2 linked regions of the Sus scrofa genome follow. The protein of the gene in region 2 binds, or shares a complex with, the protein of the main gene of each other region. Links are inferred from orthologs where the notes say so. Each region holds a gene or a part of one and is shown on either strand. Other genes may lie near its edges.

Evidence for each region.
Region 1: the proteins of RAB7A (region 2) and PDZD8 are in contact, whole or in part, in a crystal structure (PDB 7F6J), measured with the Homo sapiens proteins. The link is inferred for Sus scrofa from reciprocal best matches to the Homo sapiens genes RAB7A and PDZD8. Residues at the interface, in NP_004628.4 of Homo sapiens: Lys10, Leu14, Asp16, Ser17, Lys38, Ile41, Gly42, Ala43, Asp44, Phe45, Gln60, Trp62, Gly66, Glu68, Arg69, Phe70, Gln71, Ser72, Leu73, Gly74, Val75, Ala76, Phe77, Tyr78, Arg79, Thr98, Ser101, Trp102, Glu105, Phe106; in NP_776152.1 of Homo sapiens: Ile999, Lys1000, Leu1001, Val1002, Arg1003, Lys1004, Glu1005, Gly1007, Leu1008, Asp1009, Asp1010, Phe1013, Ile1014, Lys1017, Gln1044, Leu1051, Asn1054, Asn1055, Val1058, Leu1077, Leu1084, Gln1085, Thr1088, Ile1092.

Annotation. Positions count from the first base shown.
Region 1 is NC_010456.5:127,398,244-127,401,599, forward strand, and holds part of PDZD8 (PDZ domain-containing protein 8), read right to left. Parts: coding exon 1,758-3,356; 3' UTR 1-1,757. UniProt on the Homo sapiens protein: Molecular tethering protein that connects endoplasmic reticulum and mitochondria membranes. PDZD8-dependent endoplasmic reticulum-mitochondria membrane tethering is essential for endoplasmic reticulum-mitochondria Ca(2+) transfer.
Region 2 is NC_010455.5:71,782,152-71,785,967, forward strand, and holds part of RAB7A (ras-related protein Rab-7a), read right to left. Parts: intron 1,738-3,816; coding exon 1,519-1,737; intron 254-1,518; coding exon 125-253; intron 1-124.

The sequences.
Region 1 (3,356 bases), on a different chromosome or scaffold from region 2:
TATTTCACTCAATAATAAAATAGCAAGAATGAGAATTGGCTATTGATTTTAAAAGTGGAATAACTTTTCTACCCATAAACATGTTTTTAATCATCCACATAAGTTATCCCTTTTATTTGAATAGCTTTCCACTGTTCAGAGAGCTTTTGCAGTTATGCTATTGTTTTCCTCACAACAAGCCTGTGAGGTAGTTTTGTTTATTCCTACTTTAGAGCTGGGGAGAGTGTAGCACGGAGACCTTTTGTGGGCTTGCCTATGGTTACACAGTTCACTAATGGCCAACTCCATAAACTCTAGTATAGAGTCCCGGCTTATAGATCTGGGCCAGAATCCTTATGCTCTACTGTGCCTTTTCCTGCCAGCCATGAAAGCTGTTCCACCTAGTTTAAAATTCATGTCAGTTTCACTATATATATCACTTATCACAGTAGTTACCTACAAAAGGGAAAAACATACATAAATCTATCTTATAGAAAAGGTGAAAACTTTTATGTATACCAACAAAGGTCATGCTCACACATTTTCCCTCAGTCATGTGTTACTGGTATCCATCTGATGGACTGAGTATCCGAGCAGATCTTCATTTTAAGAGAACTGGTCCCAATTCCTACGTGTTTATGCCATCTAACTTAAAAAAAAAAAAAAATCAACAAAGACAGTCTGAACTATGGAAGCATTCAGAATGATTACCACGCCTTAAGCCTGTAGGATGTCAGACAAAGGAATAAATCTATTTCGCATGATTCCTCTCTCACAACATTCTCATGCATGACAATATTTCTAAAACAAAACAGCCAAGCAAGGTCATTTTAAGAACAGTCCTCTGAAACTTCAAATATCCTTGCACATGCTTTATTTCCTATGGGAGAAGTGAAGATGAAAACTAATCATAAATGTTTAGAACTTTCACTTGAAAGCATCAACTTTTTGAAAGGTTATATTTCAAAATCCTACTGGTTACTCTCTTTTAACCTTGTCATCCTCTCAAAATTCTTGACCAACTGCATTCTATATTTATTCCCTATTACATTTTGTTTTTCAACGCAAGCTCTTCAAATTAATCACTATAGTCTTACTAAAACTGCACAGAAACTTTAGGAAGCAAATTTCACAGAATCATAGAAAGCAAGCTGTATATGTAAACTTTTTTTTTTCTTTTTACTAAATCAGCATAACTGACTAAAGCTGCAGCATTTTGCTTTCATGTTACATTTGGCAAAATCAAAACAAAAAGCACCCCCCAAAGCCCCCAGATAACAAAAATCTCAAGCAAGTAGAGATGTCAAACTTCATAACACAAAATAAGATTCAAAACCTGTTCCCTCAATGATCACTGTTGTCAATTTGGGCATGCAGCAAATTTATTTTTATAACCATGATGGAAATGAAAATATTAAGAATCTGGATGGTATCCTATTTAACACTAATTCAAAAACTAGGAAGAGGAAGGAAAAATAACAAGACATCACACATAAACACCAAAAGTTAGCTTACGTAATTAGAAAAAGTTAAAAATAAATTAGTAAAAATAAATTCCCAGTAAAAACCCAAAAAGCATAGCTATAAATACAATCTGAAACAACCAATTTAGGGAGCTGGTCATGTTTTTGCTGGAGAACCTTGTCCACTCTAGTTCTTACACAAGCAAATAACTGTGGAGAAGCAGGCCAAAGTGCATAATAAGAGGGTTTCAATGTGTTGTACCTGTGGTACTTGAGATACAACTTTTCCTTAATCACTTGAAAGGTTAAACAGACTTAAACAGACTCAGAAGGGCCAAATAAGTCATCTGGTATGCTACTGAATGGCTGAGAGTCTATTAGTTGGGTTATTTCATTATCTAGGTCTTCTTCTGTATCATCTGTATACTTGCTTATTTTTTTGGAGTGCTGATCTAGAGAGAGACTTTCTAAAGATTCGACATCTTCAATGCCTGCTCTATAGTGGATCATGAGAAGTGTTAGAGCTTGCAGTCTTTCACCTGATTTAGCCAAAGCCGCAGAAAGAATTGATTTTTTCCTCGAATCAGTTGTCTCTTTTTCTTCTCTAACAAGGGAATTGTTATGTTCCAACTCCTGATCAATTTCATTCTGCAGTTTATCTAGCATGAACTCTAGTTTCTGGATCCTCTCCTCCGTAGGCAAGCCCCTGTACAGATCACGACCGATTTCTTTAACAGCAATGAAAACACTGTCATCCAGACCACCCTCCTTTCTCACTAACTTTATTCCTGTGTTGTTGCCCCGCTTAGAGGGACTGTTTGGACCACAGACCTCTGTGTCGCTGCCTTCGTTGTCTGATGTGTTGGGTGTGTGTTTTGGTGAAGGTTCTACTAGATCAGTTCCTGGCTCAGAAAGGCGAGTTTTAGAGACTTGACGCAGATTTAACAAACGAGAGCTTGTATTGATAATATGTCTTGTCAAACCTGTTGTTCTGTTGACTGACTTGCCAGCTTCAGCATCAACACGAGGGGGCAGACCTAAGAGGGTTTCTTGTCCTTCCAGCCTGAGGTTTTTCAGGGCTCTGTCTATCCGCTGGTCAGTTGCTCCACAAAGAGGAGTCTCGGCTAGACACTTTTCCTGACATTTTTTATGGCAAACATAAGCACAGAACATACACTGGGAGGCAGCTTTAGTCCAAACTTTCTTCTTACAGTAATCACACCAAGTTGGGTTCTGGAACTGAGTATCTTGGAAACTATGCTTATTTTCTGTCAAACCCGTCTGTCCAACAAAGTGCTCCTCTTTAGTCAGGGCAGAAACCTCTTCGACCAAATGGAGTTCTTTTTCTTTCTCTAAGTTAGTAACTACATGGTGCTCTGGCTCTCCTTCTTTCAAATACTTGAAGTGAACAGTAATATCCCCGAAGCAAAATGTGTCATTGAATCCCTTTTGTACACTCAGGTTGCGTAGAGCGGTTCTTGTGACCATGGCCTTAGGTGATGGGGCTTCCAGTCTGAATTTGGAAAGGTATTCCATGTTTGATGTGGCTAAGCATCCCAAAGCCACCTCTTCAAGTTTCAAACTAACATGCCCCAAGCAGATGAGACCCCCTAATTTGAAAGGATCCCTGCACCACAGTGCAATGTTTAAGTACCTGTGGCAGGCTTCTATGTCAAAAGAACAGCTAGCTCTGGTTCTTGTCCATTTTCCTAGCTTATTACGATAAGGAATTTCTGATGATTCCCACGTTTGAGGGTCATCTGAGCTGTCCTTAGGAGGGCAAGAACTTTCTGAAGTCAAATCTTTTGCCACTTCCTGCTTTGCTAAAAACTGTTTAGCGGCAGTGGCTTCTTCCACGTGATCCAGATTTTTCACTTGCTTTTCAGCAGGTTTATCTGTAAGAGGTGGTGGCAA
Region 2 (3,816 bases):
ACCACTGAAGTTACTGACCAACAAATCCTTCCTGAAAGCTTTAGCAGAACGTGTCATTACTGTCCCAGATAATGACAGCTAGGAGAGAAGGGTAAGGAAAAGACAGGCAGGGGCTGAGACCCACCTGCTTCAGCGCGTTCCGAGCGATCGTCTGGAAGGCTTGCTCCACATTGATGGCCTCCTTGGCGCTGGTCTCAAAGTAGGGAATGTTGTTTTTGCTGTAGCACCAGGCCTGCGCCCGCTTCGTGGCCACCTAGAAGGAGAGGCATGTGTGCTCAAGACAGGGCTGCCCGGCATGGCTGCTATCCTGCCCAGAAGGGCCGTGGTCCCCGTCCACAGGAGATGCTGGCTATGTGCCCACTGCCACCCTGGCTACAGCCATAGCTCCCAGTAAACACGCAGCAGCCCATGAAGAAAAGCCTCATCTCCTGTGGAACCTTGGGGGGTCTGCAGCTTGGGAAACACCTGGAGGCTTGGTTGTCAGGCCTGAAGCCCTTTCCCTGTCACCACCGGTTATATCACCTGTGCCACATCCCTAAGGGCCCAAATCCTGCAGCTCCCACCCCACCTCCAACCCATTCTCCGCATGAAAGGAGAACTAGGTTACTGAGGGAAGATGGGAAAGCCGAGCTCTAATTAAGACATACTCTCTGTCCCCAGGGAGATGCTACTTGAAGGTAAACCAGAGCAATCTTACTCAAAGCCTCAGGGACCTTTTGTATGCGTGGAGACCTAGGCAGGCCCTGAAGACAACAATATCTAATCCCCTCCTGGGGATGGGGGAACGAGGTGCAGAGGCACAGGCAGTAGGTCAGAGTCAGCCAGGGACAGCGTGGGGATGTAAGCCGGTCTCCTGGCCCTGGTCCTCAGAGGCAGCTGGCGTGGAGGCAGTGCACCCCCAGCACTCCAGGCTCGGCATAGAACGTGCCAAACTCACAAAAGCCCCTCAGAAGCAGGTGGCTCTCAAAGAACACGAAAGTGACAGCGGTCCCCAGAATGTTCCTCCTGGCCAGCAGCTCTCAGCACCATCTCCAGGTCAGAAGACTCCGGCCAGATGACAGAGCCCACTCGAGAAGCATCCCCCACTTAGCAATCGTGACGTGGACTGCAGATCAGGTCTGCCTCTAAGTTCCAGAGACTGAATCCCACATGGCCTTAAGTCACATCACTTCCCTTAGGCCAGGAGGGACAGCCAGTATGGGCAAGTCCAGAATGGACTCGCTCCTCTGTGGGCATAACTTGAAAGGGAATGCCACTGCACCCCCCTGCCAGGGGGCCAAGACCTTTCCAAGGTCAGGAAGCCTGGGGCTGGGCAGGCAGGTAACTAGGTGGTGGTCCCGCCCCTGCCCCACAAGGGGGCGCACCCAGCCCAACAGATCCTTGAGGCACCTGGCTTTTTGCTAAGCAAATCTAAAAACTGTACCAGTCACCCAAAAAGTAGCTGCCACTTTTTAAAGAAAGCCTTTTCACGATTTAGGGGCTATAATCTAAATGCCTTCCACCACCTTCAGCACTCACCTGTCTGTTTTCGAGGTCGATCTTGTTTCCCAACACAACAAAGGGGAAGTTTTCGGGATCCCGGGGACTGGCCTGGATGAGAAACTCATCTCTCCAGCTATCCAGGGTTTTGAATGTGTTGGGGGCAGTCACATCAAACACCAGAACGCAGCAGTCTGCGCCTCTGTAGAAGGCCACGCCAAGAGACTGGAACCGTTCCTGTCCGGCTGTGTCCCAGATCTGGGGAGACAAAAGGCTTATTCGTGGGGCATGTGGGAAAACTCGGCATTCCAGGGACCAGCACTTTGGGATTCGGGAAGCAGATGTCAGCACCAGCCTGTCCGAAATACCCGACCAACAGCAGGTATGTGTGCCTGAGCCCCTGCCTCACCGCCCCCCGACCCCCAAGTCTGGAGGTGCTGGGAGAGTTTTCATCTTGATCCAGGTGGTCACATGGGTGGATATTTATGTAAAATCTGCACTATAAACAAGATGTACCCCATGGGAACTTTCTGGGGGTGATGAAATATGGAGAAGGGATTATTCACTGAATTGTACATTTAAATCTATGTATTTTACTGTATGTAAAGCTGACCTGTTAAAGAAAATCAGTGTGTTTTATCTACATTACACCTCAAATAACAAACAAAACAAAAGTGCCAAGAGAGACAGATACAGACAGACAGAGATAAGCACAAACACACAGGTAAGAGACGGACATGGGGAGAGGTAGAGACAGGGACACACAAAGAGACAGAGAGAGAGACCTAAATACACAGAGATGGGGAGACAGTAAGGGGAAAAGGCAAGGAGATCACCACAGAACAGATGAAGGTCACTTCTGATCAAAGGAGCCCCAGGTGCTGCTGACCAGCTCAAGGAACTCCCATCATTTGTTGTCATTCAAGGTTCAAGAGCAAGGGTGGATTTCATCAATGCCCCAGATCCCAACAGTACCCAGTCGGCCTGGAGAGATAGCCAATGTTCCCAGGAAGGTCCCCAGAGCCCATCAACAGTGAGCCATAGGGTCTGAGGCTGAGGGCAGTATCTTCCAGCTGATAGGGTCTTCAAGTGGTGGATCCAGTGTCCATTTGCAGGAAACCACTGGGCTTCAGAACTACACGAGAATCTGGACCATTCTCATAACCCAAATAAACTCCACCTTTAATGTCCAGATCAGCAGCCAACTATCCAAAGGCCCAAGGTTTAGACCAAAATGGACTGCAGACTGCGCAGCTACACTTGAACCTCCAGAACCATGTTCTGCAAAAGGAGGGCTGCACTCCTCTGGGAAGCCCCTCTCAGGCAGCCAGCCCTGCCTCCCAAGACCCAGAGCACTTGGGGACATGTTAGCTGCCCACCCTGGCCACACACAGACTGACCTTACAGTTCAGGCAGAAAGAGCCTCATCGTATAAAAGGAGGCCATGGCGCTGGGTCAGAGGGTGTGTATCCGGAGCAGGGCAGGAAGTCCAACAGGACTGTGCTACAGGGCTGACATTTCCCTGTTACCAAGCTCATGACACCTAAAGCCCACAACACCTCCCAAGATGCTCTCCAGGAGTCCTGAGACGGTGCGCTAACCCAGAAGGCTGGTCTGTCCTTGGGGACTGGTTCAAACAGCACCATGGCAAACGGGCACAGAGCCCAAACATAAGTGCCATCTGGAAAGCTGGGAGTGGCAGCTTCCGAAGCCCTAGAGGCAGTTCCAATAAAGCAGACAGACCACACGGGCCAAGCTACACTCAGAGTGCATGCTGGGAGGGGCTGTGTGTCACTGCCCTCTGAGGAGGGCAGTGCTGAGAAGGCCACTGAGCCTTTCTCTCCAGCACACGTGACCTTCCGCACTCAGCGCATGGCGACATGGCCAATGCTGGGTCACACACTTGGTAGCAGGGAGCCAGCCCCTGGCAGCCCATACCCTTTCCGGGAAATACTGACCAATACATGCTCTAAGTGCTCTGGGAAGGACCTCCCCAGTGGCCATGGGAAGTCAGACTGCAGGAGTGGAGTCAGGAGCTGCTGTGAATGCCCACGTGTGGCAGAAGTGCCGAGACCCCAGGTAAAGGAAGCAGCCCCTAGGAACCAGGGGAAGTGACTGCAGGGTGATGAGCAACACAAGAAAATGCAGCCCAGGAGCAGCAGGCACTTACACTGCCCGGCTCCCACAATGAGCAAAGTACCCATATGCAGGCAAAACAGGGTGTCTAGGGACAGAGGACCAGGGGTGGGACTGCCATGCCAATCACTATGCACTCTTCTTCCCAGAGTCCTACACCGAATACCTGTCTCCAAGTGGAAGAATGAGCCTATGAGCCTT